Saccharomyces cerevisiae S288C: one gene and its partners. Changing the gene in region 3 together with the main gene of any one other region gives a genetic interaction. Each region holds a gene or a part of one and is shown on either strand. Other genes may lie near its edges.

Region 1 (4,649 bases), on a different chromosome or scaffold from region 3:
GAACAGCATCGTAATATATGTGTACTTTGCAGTTATGACGCCAGATGGCAGTAGTGGAAGATATTCTTTATTGAAAAATAGCTTGTCACCTTACGTACAATCTTGATCCGGAGCTTTTCTTTTTTTGCCGATTAAGAATTCGGTCGAAAAAAGAAAAGGAGAGGGCCAAGAGGGAGGGCATTGGTGACTATTGAGCACGTGAGTATACGTGATTAAGCACACAAAGGCAGCTTGGAGTATGTCTGTTATTAATTTCACAGGTAGTTCTGGTCCATTGGTGAAAGTTTGCGGCTTGCAGAGCACAGAGGCCGCAGAATGTGCTCTAGATTCCGATGCTGACTTGCTGGGTATTATATGTGTGCCCAATAGAAAGAGAACAATTGACCCGGTTATTGCAAGGAAAATTTCAAGTCTTGTAAAAGCATATAAAAATAGTTCAGGCACTCCGAAATACTTGGTTGGCGTGTTTCGTAATCAACCTAAGGAGGATGTTTTGGCTCTGGTCAATGATTACGGCATTGATATCGTCCAACTGCATGGAGATGAGTCGTGGCAAGAATACCAAGAGTTCCTCGGTTTGCCAGTTATTAAAAGACTCGTATTTCCAAAAGACTGCAACATACTACTCAGTGCAGCTTCACAGAAACCTCATTCGTTTATTCCCTTGTTTGATTCAGAAGCAGGTGGGACAGGTGAACTTTTGGATTGGAACTCGATTTCTGACTGGGTTGGAAGGCAAGAGAGCCCCGAAAGCTTACATTTTATGTTAGCTGGTGGACTGACGCCAGAAAATGTTGGTGATGCGCTTAGATTAAATGGCGTTATTGGTGTTGATGTAAGCGGAGGTGTGGAGACAAATGGTGTAAAAGACTCTAACAAAATAGCAAATTTCGTCAAAAATGCTAAGAAATAGGTTATTACTGAGTAGTATTTATTTAAGTATTGTTTGTGCACTTGCCTGCAGGCCTTTTGAAAAGCAAGCATAAAAGATCTAAACATAAAATCTGTAAAATAACAAGATGTAAAGATAATGCTAAATCATTTGGCTTTTTGATTGATTGTACAGGAAAATATACATCGCAGGGGGTTGACTTTTACCATTTCACCGCAATGGAATCAAACTTGTTGAAGAGAATGTTCACAGGCGCATACGCTACAATGACCCGATTCTTGCTAGCCTTTTCTCGGTCTTGCAAACAACCGCCGGCAGCTTAGTATATAAATACACATGTACATACCTCTCTCCGTATCCTCGTAATCATTTTCTTGTATTTATCGTCTTTTCGCTGTAAAAACTTTATCACACTTATCTCAAATACACTTATTAACCGCTTTTACTATTATCTTCTACGCTGACAGTAATATCAAACAGTGACACATATTAAACACAGTGGTTTCTTTGCATAAACACCATCAGCCTCAAGTCGTCAAGTAAAGATTTCGTGTTCATGCAGATAGATAACAATCTATATGTTGATAATTAGCGTTGCCTCATCAATGCGAGATCCGTTTAACCGGACCCTAGTGCACTTACCCCACGTTCGGTCCACTGTGTGCCGAACATGCTCCTTCACTATTTTAACATGTGGAATTCTTGAAAGAATGAAATCGCCATGCCAAGCCATCACACGGTCTTTTATGCAATTGATTGACCGCCTGCAACACATAGGCAGTAAAATTTTTACTGAAACGTATATAATCATCATAAGCGACAAGTGAGGCAACACCTTTGTTACCACATTGACAACCCCAGGTATTCATACTTCCTATTAGCGGAATCAGGAGTGCAAAAAGAGAAAATAAAAGTAAAAAGGTAGGGCAACACATAGTATGAATACAAACGTTCCAATATTCAGTTCTCCGGTCAGAGATTTACCAAGGTCTTTCGAACAAAAACATTTAGCGGTTGTAGATGCATTTTTCCAAACATACCATGTCAAACCTGATTTTATCGCTAGGTCTCCTGGCAGAGTAAATCTGATTGGTGAGCATATAGATTATTGCGATTTTTCAGTTTTGCCATTAGCCATTGATGTGGATATGCTTTGCGCAGTTAAAATTTTAGACGAAAAAAATCCATCCATTACCTTAACAAATGCGGACCCTAAATTTGCTCAGCGAAAGTTTGATCTGCCTTTAGATGGTTCCTACATGGCCATAGATCCGTCTGTGTCGGAATGGTCGAATTACTTTAAATGCGGACTACATGTGGCACATTCATACTTGAAAAAAATTGCTCCGGAAAGATTTAATAATACACCCTTAGTAGGTGCGCAGATCTTTTGCCAGAGCGATATTCCTACTGGTGGTGGACTCTCATCTGCATTTACTTGCGCGGCAGCACTAGCCACAATTAGAGCCAATATGGGAAAAAATTTTGATATTTCCAAAAAAGACTTGACCCGCATCACAGCGGTTGCTGAGCACTATGTTGGAGTCAATAATGGTGGTATGGATCAAGCAACGTCTGTTTATGGGGAAGAAGATCATGCTCTATACGTAGAGTTTAGGCCAAAACTAAAGGCCACACCTTTCAAGTTTCCTCAATTGAAAAATCATGAAATCAGTTTCGTCATCGCCAATACTCTTGTAAAGTCTAATAAATTCGAAACTGCTCCTACAAATTACAATTTAAGAGTAATAGAGGTAACAGTTGCTGCCAACGCCTTGGCGACCAGATACAGCGTGGCCTTACCATCTCACAAGGACAATTCTAACTCAGAAAGAGGGAATCTAAGAGATTTTATGGATGCTTACTACGCCAGATACGAAAACCAAGCCCAACCATGGAATGGAGATATCGGAACTGGTATTGAACGTTTACTCAAGATGCTACAATTGGTAGAAGAATCTTTCTCGAGGAAAAAGAGCGGATTCACTGTACATGAAGCCTCTACGGCGCTAAACTGTTCACGTGAGGAGTTCACTAGAGATTACCTGACAACTTTTCCCGTCCGCTTCCAAGTCTTGAAACTATATCAAAGAGCTAAACACGTTTACTCCGAATCCTTAAGGGTGCTTAAGGCTTTAAAAATGATGACAAGTGCCACTTTTCACACGGACGAAGATTTCTTTACAGATTTTGGCCGACTAATGAATGAGTCCCAGGCCTCTTGTGATAAACTTTATGAATGTTCGTGCATAGAAACCAATCAAATATGCTCGATTGCCCTAGCAAATGGTTCTTTCGGCTCCCGTCTCACTGGCGCTGGTTGGGGCGGTTGCACTATCCACCTTGTTCCTAGTGGCGCTAATGGGAACGTGGAACAGGTACGAAAAGCACTAATCGAAAAATTCTACAATGTAAGATATCCGGATCTCACAGATGAAGAACTAAAAGACGCAATTATAGTTTCGAAGCCTGCCTTGGGTACTTGTTTGTACGAACAATAACACTAAACACCTTCTTGGAACAACCTTTAAATATTAAAAGTTTACTCATACCTCTTACACTCTATAAAGAAACAAGTTGGTGAGTCCAATAGAACCCATTCCAGCATCCGATGCAACCATAGCCCGGTTGATGCGAGTCAGAGTGGCTCCGCACACAGAGGTTATGTGACCATGGTAACCGTACACATTTTTCCACGGCAAGGAAGTGGCGCGAAAGAAGCACCGCCCTCCACGGATCACCCCATTTGGAAAAGAACGGAGACATAAAAAAAAATTACCTTCACGCCAGACTATGTATGACTCGTAGAAATCTAGCATCCGCGGAGCTATTTTAAGTTTCCGCGGATGCCTTTCGATCCTTTCCCAGTCGTCTGGTTCCGCGCACATATGACTAAATGTCCGCCCATTTCCGTTTAAATCCGTTTTCTATTTTCTTTAGGTCTTTCCATTGTATTCCCTGCAACCCCGCTGGGTATTGGTATTACTAATAGTGACTACGCAACATCAACATATAAAACAAATGATGAGTAGTGCCCCTCCCTCACCGCTATCGCCTCACCACTTTTTATGCTTGTATATGCTTGTAGATAAATAAATACCTAACGAAAACAATATATACGAACCTAGTGTATTTGTATCTTTTGTTTTTCAAGTTGAAGTGTTGCGAGGTCAAAAAAAAAAAAGCTCACTGTAGGATATAGGAGTTACTATATCACCAGTGCATTACATTCTCAGTGCATCCATCGTCTTCAACATTGATTATTTTCTCCTTCCATTGATTAGAGTTCAAGCTCCCTGAGAAAACGAAGGTATAGCGGACGTACCCGCAGAGACATAAAAAAAGAAAAACTATATCGAAGACCGAAAGCAGTAAAAAAGTGGATAGAATAACACAGCTACCAAAATACGTAAAGAGAATTCAATGAGCAATATCAAAAGCACGCAAGATAGCTCTCATAATGCTGTCGCTAGAAGCTCAAGCGCTTCTTTTGCAGCTTCAGAAGAATCATTTACGGGCATAACCCATGACAAAGATGAGCAGAGCGATACCCCGGCGGATAAACTAACAAAAATGCTGACAGGACCTGCAAGAGACACTGCGAGCCAGATTAGTGCCACTGTGTCTGAAATGGCGCCAGATGTCGTATCTAAAGTGGAGTCATTTGCAGATGCACTATCCCGTCATACAACGAGAAGCGGTGCCTTTAATATGGATTCAGATAGTGACGATGGGTTCGATGCCCATGCCATCTTTG
Region 2 (6,649 bases), on a different chromosome or scaffold from region 3:
CAAAAGGAAAAAACTCACAACTGGAATTATATTACTTGTTTGGAGTTGTCATGGGGTTGGCGATTTTCAACAGTACCATATTAGATTTACAATTTCCAAAGGCGCTTTATAAAAAACTATGCTCAGAGCCTCTGAGTTTTGAAGATTACTCGGAATTGTTTCCGGAGACAAGTAGGAACTTAATAAAAATGCTCAATTACACAGAGGATAATTTCGAAGACGTCTTTTCTTTAACATTTGAGACTACGTATCGAAATAACAACTGGATTTTAAATGACAGTAAATCGAGCAAAGAGTATGTAACGGTAGAATTATGTGAAAATGGCAGAAATGTGCCAATAACCCAAAGTAACAAGCATGAGTTTGTCATGAAATGGGTAGAATTTTATCTGGAAAAGTCCATTGAGCCACAATACAATAAATTTGTTTCAGGTTTTAAAAGGGTCTTCGCAGAATGCAATTCTATAAAATTATTTAATTCTGAAGAGCTGGAGAGATTAGTGTGTGGTGATGAGGAACAAACTAAATTTGATTTCAAATCGTTAAGATCCGTGACAAAGTATGTAGGTGGCTTCTCCGATGATTCCAGAGCGGTTTGCTGGTTTTGGGAAATTATTGAAAGTTGGGACTATCCATTGCAGAAGAAATTATTACAATTCGTAACGGCATCTGATCGTATACCTGCAACGGGTATCTCTACTATCCCATTCAAAATTAGCTTGCTAGGGTCGCATGATAGTGATGATTTGCCATTGGCTCATACATGTTTTAATGAAATATGTTTATGGAATTATTCCTCGAAAAAAAAACTAGAACTGAAATTACTTTGGGCAATTAATGAATCTGAAGGTTACGGGTTCCGCTAAGAGTCTTCAGAATATACATATACACATAACACATACATATTTTTTATAGATATTTCTATGGGTAAAGTTACGTCAAGGGTACTCTGTCCATTCTAAGTTTTCATGAAGCATTGTTATTCCTAAATTCTTCATCAAGCACCCACCCTTTACGCTCTTTATCAAACTGTGCTATGGTTTTTAATAATGCTCTAACCTTAATAACGTCTTCTTTATCAGAAAGACTGACGCCAATGCTGTTAAGTATGCTAACACTAGATGAGAAAAAGTTATTCTGTTTCTGTAAATATGCCCGAATATTTTCTAGCGTTTTGGTATTGGAATTGATTTCCTTGGATCTTGCGAAGGTTATACCATCGTCGTAATTTTCTTGGCGAGCTTCCTTGGATGCCTCTTTTTGTGATTTTGTAATATTGCCTAAAATGGCAGCTGATCCAGTTAATTTATTTTTCAACGGATCTCTCTTTCTAATTTTACCTGCTTTACCAAACCTACCTGTCCAAGTAGGTGTCCCAATTTCATATTGCTTAGTGATCTTTTTTCTCGATTTCCTTAGCGCATTAACCGCCTCAATCGCTACTCTGGAAGCCTCTTTTGTAATTATATTCGAAGAAGAACTGCCCGCGTGCGAATTGACAACCGAATCATGACTCATAACGGTTTCTAAATTGCTCTCTCCTCCTAGCAACCCTTCGATTAATCTATCATCCTCTGTTTTACTATTCTCTTTTTTTTCCTTACCGTTATAAAAGCTTTCTAGTTTAGATACGCCAGATAGGTTGACCAGTTGTTCAAAATCGTCACTTTCCTCTGATTTGGAATTTTTTAAATTTTCGGTATGTTTTTGAACTTCTTCGTTCAATTCTTCTGTAGAATAACCGTTTTCACCCCCCAGTGAAAACAGATCATGGAGTTCGTGAATTTTGAAAAATCGTTTCTGCTTAGGATCAGTCAAAATCCTGTTGGTTAAGAATTGTTTGAATATTTGTCTATGATAAATCTTCTCCTCTATTGAACCTCCTACCATCAACCTATATATTGATACCTCTCTTTTCTGCCCAATCCTCCATGCCCTTTCTCGAGCTTGCATGTCAGTAGATGGGTTCCAGTCTGGATCAAAAATGATAATTCTATTAGCACCGGTTAAATTAACACCTAGCCCCCCAACTCTTGTGGTTAGTAAGAATACATCGAAAGATTCATTGTTAAACCGGTCAACTAACGACTGTCTCCCTTTGATATTAGTTGTCCCATCCATTCGTAGGTAGTTCAAATGTGATAAATCGGGATCTTTCGTTGATATAAACTCCTCTAGAATATCGAGCATTTGTCTCGATTGAGTGAAGAGTAGGGCTTTATAGCCCTGCTTATGCCACAGTAATAATAATTGCTTGACAACCTGCATTTTTCCGGATCTTTTAGGATCACCGTAATCTGGATTATGTCTCTTTGTATCTCTGTCAAGTAAATCGGGGTGATTACATATTTTCCTTAGAATGTCGATACCAAATAGAACATTTCTCTTACCGTTTTGTATTTGGTTTAAATCTGAAGAATGCAGAAACTCCAAATATTTGCTTCTTTGATATTTCGTAAGCTTACAAAAGAGAACCATTTCTTTCTTTTGTGGCAGATCTTTTGCAACATCAGCTTTCACACGACGTAACAGGTACGGTGAAATCAAGTCACGCAATGCAACAGCACATTTGTAGCCGGTCTGAACTTGTATGTTTGTTGCGTTTGCATAACCACCAATATTTATAGGTATGACAAACTGTTGTTGAAACACAGGTAGAGTTCCTAATTTACCAGGGAAAATGAAATCAAAAAGCGACCAAAGCTCGGTTAAATTATTCTGTATCGGTGTTCCTGAAAGAATGATCCTATTATGTGTCTTCAGTTTTTTGCAAGTCAATGAAATCTCCGAATCTGGGTTTCTAATCTTATGTCCCTCATCTAAAACAGCATACTGCCATTTAACTTTTAGTAGCTTATCTGAATGTATTCTTAACCCAACGTACGTGGTAATTAAAATGTGCCCATCAGTAACGACTTTATCTATCAACTTATCTAAATGATAGCTTGATTCCAATGCCTTCTTTGTCCTTGTTGAGTTCTTCCAATCCTCGTAAGAAAAATCACTTGGCTTTGAATTCATTATCAAGTTCTCTAGATCGTTTTCATCCATCTTAAATTTTTGGTCAGAAGCCATTCCTGAACCCATTGAGTGCAATATGACCGTCCTCAATGGAGGCCACCAATGCTGGAACTCATTACACCATTGCTTCATCACAGTTGCAGGACAGACAATTAATACAGGGCCTGTTAATAGACCTGAATGATGCAACGCTGCGATAAATGCGATAACTTGAATCGTTTTTCCCAGACCCATTTCGTCACCAATAATACCGCCACAGTTCTGCTGGTAAAGCTCATAGAGCCACTGAACGCACGTCTTTTGGTAATTAAATAACAGCGAGTATATTTCACCGGGTATTTTGAACTGGCTATTAAGTTTTGCGTCGGGAATATTCGGATGAGGTCTTCGCCATTCTGGCAAGTCCGATGACCTTTGACTACCGCAAGAACGTTGTTTCACCCATTTTTTTAACCTTTCTTGATAATACAACTCGTCCCCATCATCCTTCGCCTCACCAGGTTGGCCTCTGAACCGCAGGTCTTCCAGTTCTTTGAGAATTTTATCGTCATTTTCTTCTTCTTCGTCATCTTCACTCTCTTTACCACTCATTTGATAGTCTTGATCGCTGAGATTGTCATCCTCATCCGTTAAATTTTCTACCATTTGTTCTGTTGCCATTTCAAAATCCTCATCTTTTTGTTCGTCATTCTTGGCATACTCTCTGTTTGCAGTGTCCAAGCTGAAACCAGCCTTGTGTCCAAATGCAGTGATCTTACCAGTCCTGATTAAAAACTCCTTCTCAGTTTCACCGGGTCTCTGCAGCCCCTCTTTGGAACCTTTATTTTCAGCACCTTGATCTACCTGCTCTTTCAACTCTTTAATCCTTGATTGGATATCGTCTATGTCCTTCAGAACTCGTTCAATATCGTCTGATTGTAAGTTCTTGATCTGGTCTCGGAGATTCTGCTTAACAGATATCCTAGTGGTATTGTTCAACTTCCTTGTGAGATGATTCTTCTTATTGACATAACGTTGCAGAGCGGTCTTACTCCGTTCTAGACGAGTCTCTTCTTGCTGCAGCGATTGTAGGTTGCTAAAGTTAGTTACATCATTAGCTATTTTTTCCTCCAAACTGCTTTGGGAAAGCACGTTAACTCCCAGATCTTTTAGTGACTCATTGTTTTCAAGTTTCGCATTGTCTTGCTGCTCTTTATCTTCCATCACTGATGTATGTTTCTCTGAGCAATGTTATATATATATATATATATATATTATCAAACCTCTTCCCTTCTTTTTTTTTCTTCCACTTTTATTGCATCGCCCTTAACTGAAATGAAGCTAAGGTATAAATTTGTACTTAGACTGATTATAATTTCTACTTACGGAACTTGTTAAGTGCATTTTTATTGTTCTACCCTCTATTTTTTAAATGTAATGTTCTTGAATACGCTACATGCGTATATATATATATATATATTGTAAGAGGATTACTGGACAAACCGAATAAAAGAGCTTGACGCATATATTTATTTATGTATATATTTACAGGCCAATTTTCATAAATAATCAGTCCTTCTGCTGGCTGTTCAGAAGTTTTAGCTTTTCCATCTCCTCCCTCGGATCAAACTTTCCTTTGCACAAGTTTTCGTACTGTTGATCGTACTTGCCAGTCGACAGAGGTGCGTTACCTGTGAACCGCTTAGTCATGTCGACGATTCCTCGCTTACAATCCAAAAATGCTTTCATCTGAGCAATACAAAGTTCGGGCAGATCCTTATTCAGCTCTGGATTGTCAAGACATTCTTGAGGGTTATGTCTCTCTATCATGACACAGGGCGATCTCTGCAAACATATAGCGACAGCCTTCTTCTGATCTTTACAACTAGCTACCATTCTTTGATATCTACAAACGCACTGCAAATTTATTTGTGTCTATTCTGTTCCGATTAATTGTTATGGCAGCCTTTTAATATACTATCCCTCTTTCTTTAAAGCTGCCCGCATAGCGAAACCTCGTTATGTTATTGTTTCAAGCACTTCAGTTTTTTTAATAATTAAAGGGATCTAAGAACACCGCAAACAATTGAGAAAGTAAACAAACGTGCACACGCAAAGGTAGTTCTCATGTCATTGAACTTTCTTCCAGGACGCCCCAATGCTACCCCTCAGACAGCTTGTCAAGCAACATGGCAAAATCATACCATCTTTGCATATTGTTCAGGGAATAATTTAATCATACTTACCAACAAATTCACTAGGTTACAGACCATATATACACAATCAGACTGTACTGCGGTCGATATTAACAGCCAGAATGGATTCATTGCCCTTTCCTTCCACAATAGGGTGCTCATCTACAAGCCCATTCATCAAATTATGCAGAATCCCAAGTGGACCCAATGTTGCCAGTTGTTCCATGATGACACGCCAGTAAACTGCCTAAGATGGTCTTCTGATAATGAGTTAGCCATTGGATCTGATTTTCTTTCTTTTTGGAAAATTAAGGATAATTTTGGTGTGTATCAACCTATTTTGCAGTGGAACCAAAAACAGCCTAAACCTGTTTATAATGTGATTATATCACAAGATTCGCAGCTGATAGTCAGTATTGGGAAGTACGACTGTAATGCTAAACTATGGAAGCGTGTTTCAATAGTCGGAGAACAAGCCATCTTTAACCTTACTATGTTGCCTCATCCGAAACCTATAACTGCAATGCGGTGGAAAAAAGAGCCAGACCAGGTGAGTAAAAACAACACTGCCTCTCATGCTCTTTATACGCTGTGTGAAGATAAAGTTCTGAGAATATGGTCTTGTTTTGAAATGGAGAAAAACCATACTGTGCAAATATGGGGTGAAGTGCCTCTTTCCCCCACGCAGAAGTTCTGCGTGATAATAGACAATTGGATCATTAGGCAAACTCTCAGTGTGAAAGACTCGGAAATCTTTGATATATCTGACTCAGACATTGTTATTCTGGGTTCAATGACTGGGGAAATGGAAGTTTTGGCTTTGAATAATCTTTCCCAAGATCCTCCAAAACCAATGACTAAAAAGACCATTTCCCATAAAAAAGTCAAGAAAGCAACTATGCTAAACGATACAAGATATTTGTACCTCCCCGAAATACAACCCTATGACAATGTGAAGGGCAAACTTTCTTTTCTCGTCCACGATTTACAAGGTGTAATCAGACATTTACTAATCGACATTCTGCAGCTTATAAACAATAAAACCGAAGATCTGAGTGCCGCTTTAGAGCACAAATTTACGGGACATAACAAATCTGTGCAGAAGTTGGTAAGAAGCAGCGACGGCGAAGCTTTATTAACCACTTCGAGATTCTCAGAAAATGGCGTTTGGTACCCACAAAAGTTAAACCATGGGGTTTCACTGCGGTTACAAAATACAATACAAACAGAATCTCCCATAAAATTTGCAGTTGTACATGAGTTGGGTAAACAGGTCATCTGTCTTCTCGAAAATGGGGCTTTACAAGCCTGGGAATGTCCAACGAATCGTAAGGAGGACAGTGAACAGAAGCAATCATATTTACGTGTGGAAACGAGACTGAAAGAGGAGAAAAAAATCCATCCAATAGTTATGTTAAATACACCTGAGCCAAAGCATAGTCATGAGCGTCATT
Region 3 (8,360 bases):
TGCATGCGGCGTAGTAGTAGTATTCATCAATGCCCCACAAAATTATCGAAAATACTTGAAAGACATAAAACGGATGCAACACTTCATTGAATAAAATTTCTGAAGTAGTTTTCATTCTCAAATTAATTTGATTTTTACCAAACGCAAGTTCTCTATCTTCTTGAACCCCCTTAGTTAAACCATTTGATACGGTACTTAAATCCACCCAGTCAGGATCTATCCAGTTATTGTTAGTTTTAAAGAGATCATCGAGCGGTGAATATATGAACTTAATATATCTGTATTCAAATGTGATCAAGATAGGCACATTTGGATTAATTTCATTGGCATGGTGGTGGCTCAAATTGATATCATTTGGTTCATATGACGGATTAGGGTAATTTTCAAAAGGTAAAACAGTACTTAATGGTCTATTATACCACTGTCGATCGATAGGTTGTATGACAAACTCACCAAACTCATTTTCTATCACGACCCATTCTGCTTTAGCCAATGGCACTTTCACGCCATATAATTTAACTTTGAGATGGGGAAGCCATCTCGTTAAAAGATAAACTAATCCGAAAGTCAAGAAGCAGCACAGGTTGTAAATAATATACCAGAATTTTGAGGTCTGGTAAGCAGCGATACCAATAACTAAATCCTCTTCCGCAATGTAAAACCTTTGGTAATGCAAGTTTGGTGCATACTGTGGATAAAACTTTTCATGATAGTCAGGTTTTAGATATTCGCTATGCTGATTATGAACATCATCATGACCAGAAAAGCTTCCTCTATTATTTTCGCTTGCAGATCGCCTACTATCTGAAGATTCTAAAGAATGTGTAGAAGACTCGTCTTCTAGTATTTCATCTGTTTGACTTTCTAGTTCAATAGGAATTCTTTCTCTGGTCGTATATCTCGATAAACTGGATGATGAATGTGTAGCGGAATGATAAACGAACCCAGTGTCAGAATTTTCTCCCAGCCTTTGTGGTGCCCTTGAACCAGAGCGACCCCTCTTACTGAAAGATCCATAAGACTTTGCATTTGAGAGAGATGATGCTCTGGAAAAACTTCGAATAGAAGAACGCCTGGAAGATAGGCCCGTACCATAGATTCTATCTTGTTCATAAGCGGGGGTGGCATCCCAGGCCATGTCATAATCTGTATTTTCTAACGTGGAAGCGCCTTCAGCATTGGATATTTGCTCCTGAGTGAAAAATCGAAAATGAGAAGGGTTTCTAGAAGAGCTTCGAGACTGTTCAGCCGAGGATAATACTAAAGGCTCTGATTCAGTCAATCGGCGGCCTCTCTGCTCTAGGTTCCCTGAAGAATGCGGACTTGGGAGGTTGCTTGATTGAAAAGAATGAGGGTGATGGAATGATACAATAGAACTTGGCACGGCTTCGAATGTTGCACCTGCGTACGGTTCCGAATTGTTCTGATCCAGTACCATCGCGGAAGTCAATGTGGCCGCCGTAGAAGTAGTGGCTGTAGAAGAAAAAGAAGCCCTCGGCATTCTTCGGTTCCTTTCACTCCTTTGGCCATGTTGAATTTGGTTTGAAGAGGGAATATCCATTACCGGAGTATATGCAAGATCTATCAGTAAGTCTGGGCTCCTTTTTATTTTAAAGAAGAATCTATTGACTCTGAACTATTTTCAATCAAAAATAAATTCACAAGTCCAACACCTCCAACTCTATGGTATTGCGTTCTCTTTTTGCCCTTTTTTCCTTTTTTTCTTTTTTTCACTACTCTTTCCTTGATTTCCATTTTTTTTCATTTTTCACTCTTCTATCACCTCTTCATACCCATACCCCCTGTTGGCCGCGGCTGCCCTAAATACACACATATATATATATAAAACAAACAAGGCATTTTTCAAATTAATAAAACTAATAAAAAAAGCTATAGAGCCTTTTCTTAGAACACAGTGTTGAAATATTCGCTTTTTTCTTTTTATTGAAACTCCTTCACTTCCAAAAAGACACGATTCTTAATGGCTATTCTGAGTGAACATAAGGACACTAAGAACTAACAAGTAATTGAAAAAAAAAGAAGAAGACATGATGAAGAAGAATTAGTGAGCAAAATACAGTTGAAGTTCCTAACGCTTATTTTCCTTGCAGATTAATTCCAATACATTCGCCACTATTGGAATTTTGCAGGTAGCCAATTTTCGCGTATATATACTAGGTTTAGGAAAAATAGCCGCCGGTAAAAATAGTGATAGGCTGTTACCCGAATACCGTTGTTCGCGATATGTTAAAACCGCGTTTGAAAGACAAATATCAACAAATTGATTGACGAAACGGGGCCATCCTGAGGCGGTAGGACAATAAGTTAAAAGAAAGGTTACCTCTAGTCTCAATAAAGAAGATATTTGTGACGTACGTGGACCTTTTGTATATAAATCATCGGGAAGGTCAGCTATTCTGTTGTTTCTCTAATCGCGACTTTCTGCTATTTTCACGACTTTCGATTAATTATCTGCCATGAACATACCACAGCGTCAATTTAGCAACGAAGAGGTCAACCGCTGCTATTTAAGATGGCAGCATTTGAGAAATGAACACGGAATGAACGCTCCGAGTGTGCCGGAATTTATCTATTTGACTAAAGTGTTGCAATTTGCTGCCAAGCAGCGACAAGAATTACAAATGCAACGCCAACAGCAAGGCATTTCAGGTTCTCAGCAAAATATTGTTCCAAATTCTTCAGATCAAGCAGAACTGCCGAATAATGCTTCCTCGCACATTTCTGCTTCTGCTTCCCCGCATTTAGCTCCGAATATGCAATTGAATGGAAATGAGACCTTTAGCACTTCTGCTCATCAATCACCAATCATGCAAACACAGATGCCATTAAATAGCAATGGTGGTAATAACATGCTACCACAACGGCAATCTTCGGTTGGTTCATTAAATGCAACTAATTTTTCACCAACACCAGCAAACAATGGAGAAAATGCTGCGGAGAAACCAGATAACTCAAACCATAATAACTTAAACCTTAATAATTCCGAGCTTCAACCGCAAAATCGATCATTACAAGAACACAACATACAGGATTCAAATGTGATGCCAGGTTCGCAGATAAATTCTCCTATGCCCCAGCAGGCGCAGATGCAGCAGGCACAATTCCAAGCACAACAGGCGCAACAAGCGCAACAGGCACAACAGGCACAACAAGCACAAGCGAGACTGCAACAGGGGAGAAGATTACCCATGACAATGTTTACTGCCGAGCAATCCGAACTGTTAAAGGCCCAAATCACATCTCTAAAATGTCTAGTAAATAGAAAGCCTATTCCGTTTGAATTTCAGGCTGTTATCCAAAAATCTATTAACCATCCTCCAGATTTCAAAAGAATGTTACTGTCTTTGAGTGAGTTTGCGAGAAGAAGACAACCCACAGATCAAAATAACCAATCAAATCTCAATGGCGGCAACAATACGCAGCAACCCGGCACCAATTCCCACTACAATAACACTAACACTGACAACGTTTCTGGGCTTACCAGAAATGCACCTTTAGATAGCAAAGACGAAAATTTTGCATCTGTTTCACCAGCTGGTCCATCTAGTGTACATAATGCGAAGAATGGCACCCTCGATAAAAATTCGCAAACTGTAAGTGGCACTCCAATCACGCAAACAGAATCGAAAAAAGAGGAAAACGAAACCATTTCAAACGTAGCTAAAACAGCTCCTAATAGTAATAAGACCCACACCGAGCAAAATAACCCGCCAAAACCGCAGAAACCCGTTCCTTTAAACGTCCTTCAAGATCAATATAAGGAAGGAATAAAAGTGGTAGATATAGATGATCCTGATATGATGGTTGATTCTTTTACGATGCCCAATATCTCACATAGTAATATCGATTATCAGACTTTATTGGCCAATTCGGATCATGCAAAGTTTACTATTGAACCTGGCGTTCTACCGGTTGGTATTGACACACATACCGCTACTGACATTTACCAAACTTTAATTGCATTGAACCTAGATACTACGGTAAATGACTGTTTGGATAAGCTACTAAATGACGAATGTACGGAATCAACCAGGGAAAATGCTCTTTACGATTACTACGCCTTACAATTATTACCGTTACAAAAAGCCGTAAGAGGTCATGTATTACAATTTGAATGGCATCAAAATTCTTTATTAACCAATACACATCCAAATTTTCTTTCGAAAATAAGAAACATCAACGTTCAAGATGCATTGCTAACAAACCAACTTTATAAGAATCATGAATTACTTAAGTTAGAAAGGAAGAAGACTGAGGCAGTGGCCAGATTAAAGTCGATGAATAAATCCGCCATCAATCAATATAATAGAAGACAAGATAAAAAGAATAAAAGGTTGAAGTTTGGCCATAGACTCATTGCTACGCATACTAATTTAGAAAGGGATGAGCAAAAGAGAGCTGAAAAAAAGGCAAAAGAACGTTTACAGGCTTTAAAGGCGAACGATGAGGAAGCCTATATAAAATTATTAGACCAAACCAAAGATACAAGAATTACACATCTTCTAAGGCAAACAAACGCATTTTTAGATTCTTTAACAAGAGCCGTGAAAGATCAACAAAAGTACACTAAAGAAATGATTGATTCCCACATAAAGGAAGCATCGGAGGAAGTGGATGATTTGTCCATGGTCCCCAAGATGAAGGATGAAGAATATGATGACGACGACGACAATTCTAACGTCGATTATTACAATGTCGCACATAGAATTAAAGAAGATATCAAGAAGCAGCCTTCAATATTGGTTGGTGGTACCTTAAAGGACTATCAAATCAAGGGTTTACAGTGGATGGTTTCGCTTTTCAATAATCATTTAAATGGTATTTTAGCAGACGAAATGGGTCTTGGTAAGACTATCCAGACGATATCCTTACTTACATATTTATATGAAATGAAGAATATTCGTGGGCCATATTTAGTCATTGTTCCTTTATCTACACTGTCAAATTGGAGCAGTGAATTCGCGAAATGGGCTCCTACCTTAAGAACTATATCATTTAAAGGTTCGCCAAATGAGAGGAAAGCCAAACAGGCTAAAATAAGGGCAGGTGAATTTGATGTAGTTCTGACTACCTTTGAGTATATTATTAAAGAAAGAGCACTTTTATCCAAGGTCAAGTGGGTCCATATGATTATTGATGAAGGCCATAGAATGAAAAATGCGCAATCCAAGCTTTCTTTAACCTTGAACACACATTACCATGCAGATTATAGATTAATTTTGACAGGTACACCACTTCAAAACAACTTGCCAGAATTATGGGCCTTATTGAATTTTGTGTTACCCAAGATTTTCAATTCCGTGAAATCTTTTGATGAATGGTTCAATACACCCTTTGCCAACACCGGTGGGCAAGATAAAATTGAGTTGAGTGAAGAAGAGACGCTTTTGGTTATCAGGAGATTGCATAAAGTCTTGAGACCCTTTTTATTGCGTCGTTTGAAAAAGGATGTAGAAAAAGAATTACCGGATAAAGTTGAGAAGGTAGTGAAGTGCAAAATGAGCGCTTTACAACAAATTATGTACCAACAAATGTTGAAATATCGTCGTCTTTTTATCGGTGATCAAAATAATAAGAAAATGGTAGGTTTAAGAGGTTTCAATAATCAAATCATGCAACTAAAGAAAATCTGTAATCATCCTTTTGTATTTGAAGAAGTTGAGGACCAAATCAATCCAACAAGAGAAACGAATGATGATATTTGGCGTGTTGCTGGTAAATTTGAACTATTAGATAGAATTTTGCCTAAGCTTAAGGCAACTGGGCATAGAGTATTAATTTTTTTTCAAATGACCCAAATTATGGATATTATGGAAGATTTTTTAAGGTACATTAATATCAAGTACCTGAGGTTAGATGGTCATACAAAATCTGATGAACGTAGTGAGTTGTTACGTCTATTTAACGCCCCTGATTCTGAATACTTGTGCTTTATCTTATCAACTAGAGCGGGTGGTTTGGGTTTAAATTTACAAACTGCAGACACTGTCATTATTTTTGATACTGACTGGAATCCTCATCAAGATTTGCAAGCTCAGGATAGAGCGCATAGAATAGGTCAGAAGAATGAAGTTAGAATTCTAAGATTGATTACTACGAATTCAGTTGAAGAAGTTATCCTAGAGAGAGCCTACAAGAAGCTAGATATCGATGGTAAAGTCATTCAAGCAGGTAAATTCGATAACAAATCTACATCGGAGGAACAAGAAGCGTTGCTTAGATCTTTGCTGGATGCAGAAGAGGAACGTAGAAAGAAAAGAGAGTCTGGTGTTGAAGAAGAAGAGGAGTTAAAAGACTCAGAAATCAACGAAATTCTTGCTCGAAATGACGAAGAAATGGCTGTTCTTACAAGGATGGATGAAGATAGATCAAAGAAGGAGGAAGAATTGGGAGTAAAGAGCCGTCTCTTAGAAAAGAGTGAATTACCTGATATTTACAGTAGAGATATTGGTGCCGAGCTCAAACGTGAAGAATCAGAATCTGCTGCTGTTTACAATGGAAGGGGTGCAAGAGAACGTAAGACGGCAACTTACAACGATAATATGTCTGAAGAACAGTGGTTAAGACAATTTGAAGTTAGCGATGATGAAAAAAATGACAAGCAGGCAAGAAAACAACGAACAAAGAAGGAAGATAAGAGCGAGGCGATTGATGGGAATGGAGAAATTAAAGGCGAAAACATTGACGCTGATAATGACGGTCCTAGAATTAATAATATATCGGCCGAAGATCGGGCAGATACGGATTTGGCAATGAATGACGATGATTTCTTGTCTAAAAAGAGAAAGGCAGGAAGGCCCCGTGGAAGACCTAAGAAAGTGAAACTTGAAGGATCTGAAAATTCTGAACCACCAGCGCTTGAATCAAGTCCAGTTACTGGCGATAACTCTCCCAGTGAGGATTTTATGGACATTCCAAAACCACGTACAGCGGGAAAAACATCTGTTAAATCAGCAAGAACTTCAACAAGGGGCCGTGGTCGCGGTCGTGGTCGTGGTCGAGGGCGAGGACGTGGACGAGGAAGGCCGCCAAAAGCAAGAAATGGGCTTGATTATGTCCGCACGCCCGCTGCGGCAACGAGTCCTATTGATATTAGAGAGAAAGTTGCTAAACAAGCTCTAGACTTATACCACTTTGCTCTCAATTATGAAAATGAAGCTGGAAGGAAACTTTCTGACATTTTCCTCTCCAAACCTTCCAAAGCACTATATCCCGACTACTATATGATTATTAAGTACCCTGTCGCCTTTGATAATATTAACACGCATATTGAAACGCTAGCTTACAACTCCCTTAAAGAGACCCTTCAAGACTTTCATCTGATATTTTCCAATGCTAGGATATACAATACTGAGGGTTCAGTAGTATACGAAGACTCTTTAGAACTGGAAAAAGTGGTTACGAAGAAATACTGTGAGATAATGGGCGATAACTCACAACTCGACTTTACTGAATTTGATGAACAGTATGGCACCAGACCCCTCGTCTTGCCTCCTGTTGTTACTTCAAGCGTGGCTGAATCTTTCACAGATGAAGCGGACTCGAGCATGACAGAAGCGAGTGTATAGTACCTTCCTAAAGCAATATAAGTACTTATTCGTTTATACGTAGACAAACATTAATCCCTCTTTTTTTTATTGTACCCATTAACCGAGTTGGGATGTTTAATATCTCTAGTATAACGTGCCGTATATTTCCTATATATATATATATATATATTTATATATATTAGATTTTAAGTTAATTGTTCAACTAATTGATCGATTTCGCCTCTTATAATTCTGCTATACATATTTATTTTAAACCATCTCTTTGAACAAAGTAATATGTCGTCATCATAGTGAACTTGTTCTTGGACCTAATTATAAATTTTCCAATACGGAACAAATTATTTGTTCCAACACCCTGCTAGCAACACAGGGCAATATATATAAAGAAGATATATCTACTACTTCTTTTCCTTGAGTATATGTCTTTAATAGATATTTCATGTATTTGATTCATCTTTAATGGAAATACTCGGAGATTATATACAGGTCCGAGATGGCCTTAAAGATATTTCCCACAAATGTATTTACCACTCATTAGAAATGAGTTTCTGTTGTATTACGGGCTCGAGTAATACCGGAGTGTCTTGACAATCCTAATATAACAGTCTTAGGGAAGTAACCAGTTGTCAAAACAGTTTATCAGATTAATTCACGGAATGTTACTTATCTTATATATTATATAAAATATGAATCATACTAAGTGGTGGAAGCGCGGAATCTCGGATCTAAACTAATTGTTCAGGCATTTATACTTTTGGGTAGTTCAGCTAAGGAAGGACGGGTTTTGTC
Region 4 (5,256 bases), on a different chromosome or scaffold from region 3:
TTACATCTAGATTCAAATTACCTAGTGGTACTGAGTATACTTTGACAGGTATGGCAAAGGGCGCGGGTATGATTTGTCCGAATATGGCTACCTTATTAGGTTTCATAGTTACAGATCTTCCTATTGAAAGCAAGGCGTTGCAGAAGATGCTGACTTTCGCTACTACCCGTTCATTTAATTGTATATCGGTGGACGGTGATATGAGCACCAATGACACAATTTGCATGTTGGCCAACGGTGCTATTGACACCAAAGAAATTAACGAAGACTCTAAAGATTTTGAACAAGTAAAATTGCAGGTCACAGAATTTGCTCAGCGCTTGGCCCAGTTAGTCGTTCGCGATGGTGAAGGTTCGACAAAGTTTGTTACTGTTAACGTTAAAAATGCTTTGCATTTTGAAGACGCCAAAATAATTGCTGAATCAATCTCAAACTCTATGTTGGTCAAAACCGCACTATATGGGCAAGATGCCAATTGGGGAAGAATATTGTGCGCGATCGGGTATGCAAAGCTGAATGACTTAAAATCTCTAGATGTCAACAAAATTAATGTTAGCTTTATTGCTACCGACAATTCAGAACCTCGTGAGCTGAAGCTTGTCGCTAATGGTGTGCCACAATTGGAGATCGATGAAACAAGGGCTTCTGAAATATTGGCTTTGAATGATTTGGAAGTGTCTGTCGACTTGGGAACCGGTGATCAGGCAGCACAATTTTGGACTTGTGATTTATCACATGAATATGTAACAATTAACGGTGATTACCGTTCATAAATTCATGTATATTTTGTTCAATCTTTCTTTTATAAGCATGGTTATATAAACGCACAGAAACAGAGTGTTTCCTGTACCTTCTGAATGAGTTTGGCTATTGCCATATTTTTGAAAGAATTAACTATTTCCGTTTTTATTTATGTACGAGGCACCTTAACTATCCTGTCACATCGTTTTTTTTTTACTTAATTACATACAGAGGTTCGCCTATTATAATAGATGTGTTGGTATAAATATTCATATATACCTATTTATTAACGTAATGTTAACCTGACTTGGTGCTCTCAACTGTTGGAATCTCTACTTGATCATTTAAAAAATTCACCAATTTCTGCGCATCGAGTAAATTTGTATTAAAATATTGACGTTTTGGTATAACGCTCAATAAATCAAGAACCTCTGTTGGAAGCTCTGAGTCTCTTTTGAATTTCTTATTGGAGAAGTTTCCATTGTTTCCAGTTTCCTCCATTAGTCTCTTTCTATCTGACGAACTCATATTGTAAGAGCCATGATGGCCATCCCCGTTTCCAGAAGAAAAGTAACTGTCTTCTTCCTCATTATACATATAAGTTAACTCTAATTTCTTTATTAAGTTGGAGTTTTGAATTTGATAACGACTTGTGAAAACTTCAATCAAATTTTCTTGGGGGAACCGTTCGAAAAATCTTTTCTCTAGAGAATAAACGTTGTTTAAGTTACCGAATTTCGATTCATAACTTATCATTTTCTTGTATATTTCCTTCAGCTGGGTTAAATCTTGCACTTTTTCCACTGATGTTTCAAATAAGGTTTTGATCTGCGAATCCTTATTTAAAAATATTAAAAAATCTAAGTATTTGTTGATATAAACTCCATCGTTTTGGAAGTATTTTAAACCCAATTCTAAAACCTTAAAAGCAGTCTTATAATCGTTTTGATTTTGAAATTCTAAATATGCATTTTCCACGTAGACGTCATGTGTTAATATACGCTTCAGTTTACGACATTTACCAAATACAGTACGTGCTGCGGATAGTCCTGATATTCTTTTCATCGTATTCATATACACGCAAAACACGAATGTTAATTTTTCCCTCTGTTTGTATAGCAGCTCTTGTTCATACTCTGTGTTATTATCTTCACCCGAATTTACATCGGAGGCGATCTTTTTATACTGCGATAGTAAAGTTTGAGTGCACTTGTCAAAACAGTTAGAAACACTTTCAGAATCATTATCCAGTTCGTAGCATTCGGATAACTTGAATGTAAGAGAAGGTGAGTCGGGATTAGCTAATAACGCAGTATATAAGATATTTTGTCGATCCGAATTTTCAGATATATACATTGAATAATCGTACCACATTTCAGCAGAAAATATCATGTATTGAATACCTTGTTTATAAACGTAACTGATTCTTTGTGATAGCATATCTTCACTAAGCATCAACTTATTCTCCCTTTCCCATTTTATCCAATTCAACCAAATCTGTAACTGCTGAATGTTTGAGTCTGAGGTACCTGGTTGTGGTATGTTTTTCTTGTTTGCTGTGCGCAGATTAATTGGAGATGCCCTTTTCAATCCATTAGTAACGTTCAACCATTCCTGGTATAAGGAACGGGCTTTCATGTATTCGGCTGATAACTCGCCAATAAATTTTCTGGCTGTTAGGGAATTTATTTCTTGTTCCCATTGAGTGTATCTATTCCACATTTTTTCTAGATTATCAAAAGGAACACATAGCATTTTCTTGTAGAATTCTCTGAGCATGTCAATTCGCTGTTGCTCCTCCCATTTGTTGAATGGCTTCCACTGCTCTAAAAAATTGAGATATTCGTTCCAAAAAGAAGATGATTTGGGTTCAAAAATTGCACACTTTTGCATAACTAGTTGGAATGCCTTGACAATAACAGCTCTCGCCTCTTGTCCACCAGTAATTAAGTTGTTTTTTCTGCGTATGTAGTCCAAATATGTTGACCAAAGAGATAGGTCATTATTTTCCAACTTGCCAGAAAGACATTGAGCCAAAATCTTCTCAACAGTCTCAAATTCATCTCTTGCCAATTCACCCTTTAGTTGCAAAGTCCACGCAGGTGAATAAAACGGGAATGTGTTATGAAATTGCTCGTATACTTCTCTCACCTTAGCGTATGACTCTTGAGTTTCCAAATATTGAATAAGCTGGAAGTATGATAAAATATTCGTGGGATTGTCTTTAATCCTTTCTCTAAGTCGTAGTTCATCTCCATGTATATTGTCACTAGGCTCTGCGACTTTGTCCGCAGAGGGATATAGTAAATCAGGAGTCGTAGAGCTGGACATATCTCTTGTTTGACTCTCCAGTTTGGCCTTTTATTTCGTTGTAGAATACTCTTTCATCACACAAGCTACACTTTTCTTCTTAATTATTACAAGGTAACCGACAATTTTGTCACGATTGTTATCATTTTAAACGAAGTGGGAAATGTAATAAGAAATAAGCTATTTAGAATGGCTACTATTTAATGCTGGAATTTGTATTTTTCAAATAAACGCAAAGCAAGGCTATTATCGAGTCAGTAATGGTTAAAGGTAGTGTGCATTTATGGGGAAAGGATGGCAAAGCATCGTTGATTTCAGTGGACAGCATTGCGCTTGTATGGTTTATCAAGTTATGTACTTCAGAAGAGGCAAAGAGTATGGTTGCGGGATTGCAGATCGTATTCTCAAACAATACAGACCTATCATCAGATGGAAAACTACCAGTGTTAATTTTAGATAATGGAACGAAAGTATCTGGTTACGTGAACATCGTACAATTCTTACATAAAAATATATGTACTAGCAAATATGAGAAAGGTACGGATTATGAAGAAGATTTAGCAATTGTTAGAAAAAAGGATCGCCTTTTAGAGTATTCCCTATTGAATTATGTTGACGTTGAAATTTCCAGACTAACGGACTACCAGCTCTTTTTGAACACCAAAAATTACAATGAATATACCAAGAAGTTGTTTTCAAAATTGCTATATTTTCCTATGTGGTATAATACGCCATTGCAACTAAGATCGCAAGCACGTGAAAATTGTGAGGAGATTATAGGCTCACTGACCCTTGAGGATGATGAAGAATTTGTAGAAAGTAAAGCAATGGAGTCAGCCTCGCAACTAGCACAATCAAAGACCTTCAAAATTGCGCATAAGAACAAAATTAAGGGTAAGCAAGAGCTACAACAGGTGAAATATAATCTTCAATTTGATAATAGACTACAGAGTTGCGTCAGCAATTGGTTGGCTGCCCGTAAAAAACTGGATGATTCTGTAATACTTTCCTCCGACCTTCTTTTCCTTGCAAATCTTTACGTTCAGTTAGGCCTACCTGATGGTAACCGCATCCGTTCAAAACTGGAACAAACCTTTGGAAGTGAATTATTGAATAGTATGTCGAACAAAATTGATGACTTCGTCCATAGACCAAGTAATAACTTGGAGCAAAGAGATCCTCAATTTAGAGAGCAAGGAAACGTTGTGATGTCATTATATAATTTAGCCTGTAAATACATATAATAAAAATAAACAAAATAATGCAGAAAGGTGTCTTTAAGTTCATTTTTCAATTTCTTTTCGGTTTTCGTACTCCTTTATAAACGAAGTAATAAACAATTGTACCATCATCGTTAATTATGGCCAGCAGTATTCTTTCAGTAGATGGACTACATAAGTGAGTAAATGTCTGGCTCAAGCATTCCAAAGTGAGAAAATTCTCTTTGTACTGTGACATATTGATGGGTAATATGAACTCTAGCGGGCGTGGCGATGACAAGCTATTTTCATGCTCTGTGTCTACATCGTTGCTCAGCTTGTGAGGCGGACGACCTCTCAGTAATCTCAGGCTATTTCCCTTCCATGATAAATCGTCTTGTAAAATTTCCACTTCCGTCCACATTTGGAAATAGAGTAAATTATTTTTTACTAGAGATATGATATCTGTCGTTGCCATTCTTATTTTCCTCAACCTCCTCGACGTAATTTCTCTTCGACAATTTATTATATCTTTCATATATTTCTGATGACTTTTTCATTTTCACTTTTTTTCAACCCATAACGGCTTTTTGTTCAAAAGAAACTGATCATGTCATCGATTAAAAGTAAAAGTATGCACATCAGCCTCGTGACAGATGAGGATCTCATGTCAAAAACCGCCAAGAAGCATGCATTATTGAATTTGAAACGTGGTAGATTATTAAGTATATGTCTATGTAATATTAAGTAAGACAAGGGCATTCACTTTACATGCAAATGCATTTGGAACCCTTGACCGAAAAAAAAAAAACAGGTTAACCGCAAAATACATGATCTTCCTTTATTAGAAGAACCGTTTGGCTTTAGTTAAAAATTGATGCTTTTCAGTGGAATGACGATCTTCGTTTACCTGACGCTCTTCATTTTCATCAACCTCATTTAGCAAGACTTCAGGGTCCACGTGCAAGTCTCGAATAACCTTTTCGGTCGCATCTTCCATATCCAT

What was found.
Region 1: of SNF2 (region 3) and GAL3, changing one enhances a phenotype caused by changing the other (phenotypic enhancement), as found in Saccharomyces cerevisiae (one study listed by BioGRID).
Region 2: of SNF2 (region 3) and RAD26, a mutation in one rescues a mutant of the other (synthetic rescue), as found in Saccharomyces cerevisiae (one study listed by BioGRID).
Region 4: mutations in SNF2 (region 3) and RNA14 impair growth when combined (synthetic growth defect), as found in Saccharomyces cerevisiae (2 studies listed by BioGRID, with this or other methods).

The regions. Positions count from the first base shown.
Region 1 is NC_001136.10:461,604-466,252, forward strand, and holds GAL3 (transcriptional regulator GAL3), read left to right. Parts: upstream 1-1,830; coding exon 1,831-3,393; downstream 3,394-4,649. Other genes in the region: phosphoribosylanthranilate isomerase TRP1, read left to right, coding at 239-913; YDR010C (uncharacterized protein), read right to left, coding at 3,448-3,780; ATP-binding cassette transporter SNQ2, read left to right, coding at 4,316-4,649.
Region 2 is NC_001142.9:494,930-501,578, reverse strand, and holds RAD26 (DNA-dependent ATPase RAD26), read right to left. Parts: upstream 4,225-6,649; coding exon 967-4,224; downstream 1-966. Other genes in the region: putative E3 ubiquitin-protein ligase HUL4, read left to right, coding at 1-866; PET191 (Pet191p), read right to left, coding at 4,570-4,896; RAV1 (Rav1p), read left to right, coding at 5,128-6,649. UniProt on the Saccharomyces cerevisiae protein: May be involved in the preferential repair of active genes.
Region 3 is NC_001147.6:854,376-862,735, reverse strand, and holds SNF2 (SWI/SNF catalytic subunit SNF2), read left to right. Parts: upstream 1-2,477; coding exon 2,478-7,589; downstream 7,590-8,360. Other genes in the region: YPK9 (putative acid anhydride hydrolase), read right to left, coding at 1-1,561. UniProt on the Saccharomyces cerevisiae protein: Involved in transcriptional activation. Catalytic component of the SWI/SNF complex, an ATP-dependent chromatin-remodeling complex, which is required for the positive and negative regulation of gene expression of a large number of genes.
Region 4 is NC_001145.3:390,571-395,826, reverse strand, and holds RNA14 (cleavage polyadenylation factor subunit RNA14), read right to left. Parts: upstream 3,073-5,256; coding exon 1,039-3,072; downstream 1-1,038. Other genes in the region: ARG7 (glutamate N-acetyltransferase), read left to right, coding at 1-773; SAM complex subunit SAM37, read left to right, coding at 3,312-4,295; SEN15 (Sen15p), read right to left, coding at 4,342-4,728; ferroxidase FET3, read right to left, coding at 5,095-5,256. UniProt on the Saccharomyces cerevisiae protein: Component of the cleavage factor IA (CFIA) complex, which is involved in the endonucleolytic cleavage during polyadenylation-dependent pre-mRNA 3'-end formation and cooperates with the cleavage factor NAB4/CFIB and the cleavage and polyadenylation factor (CPF) complex.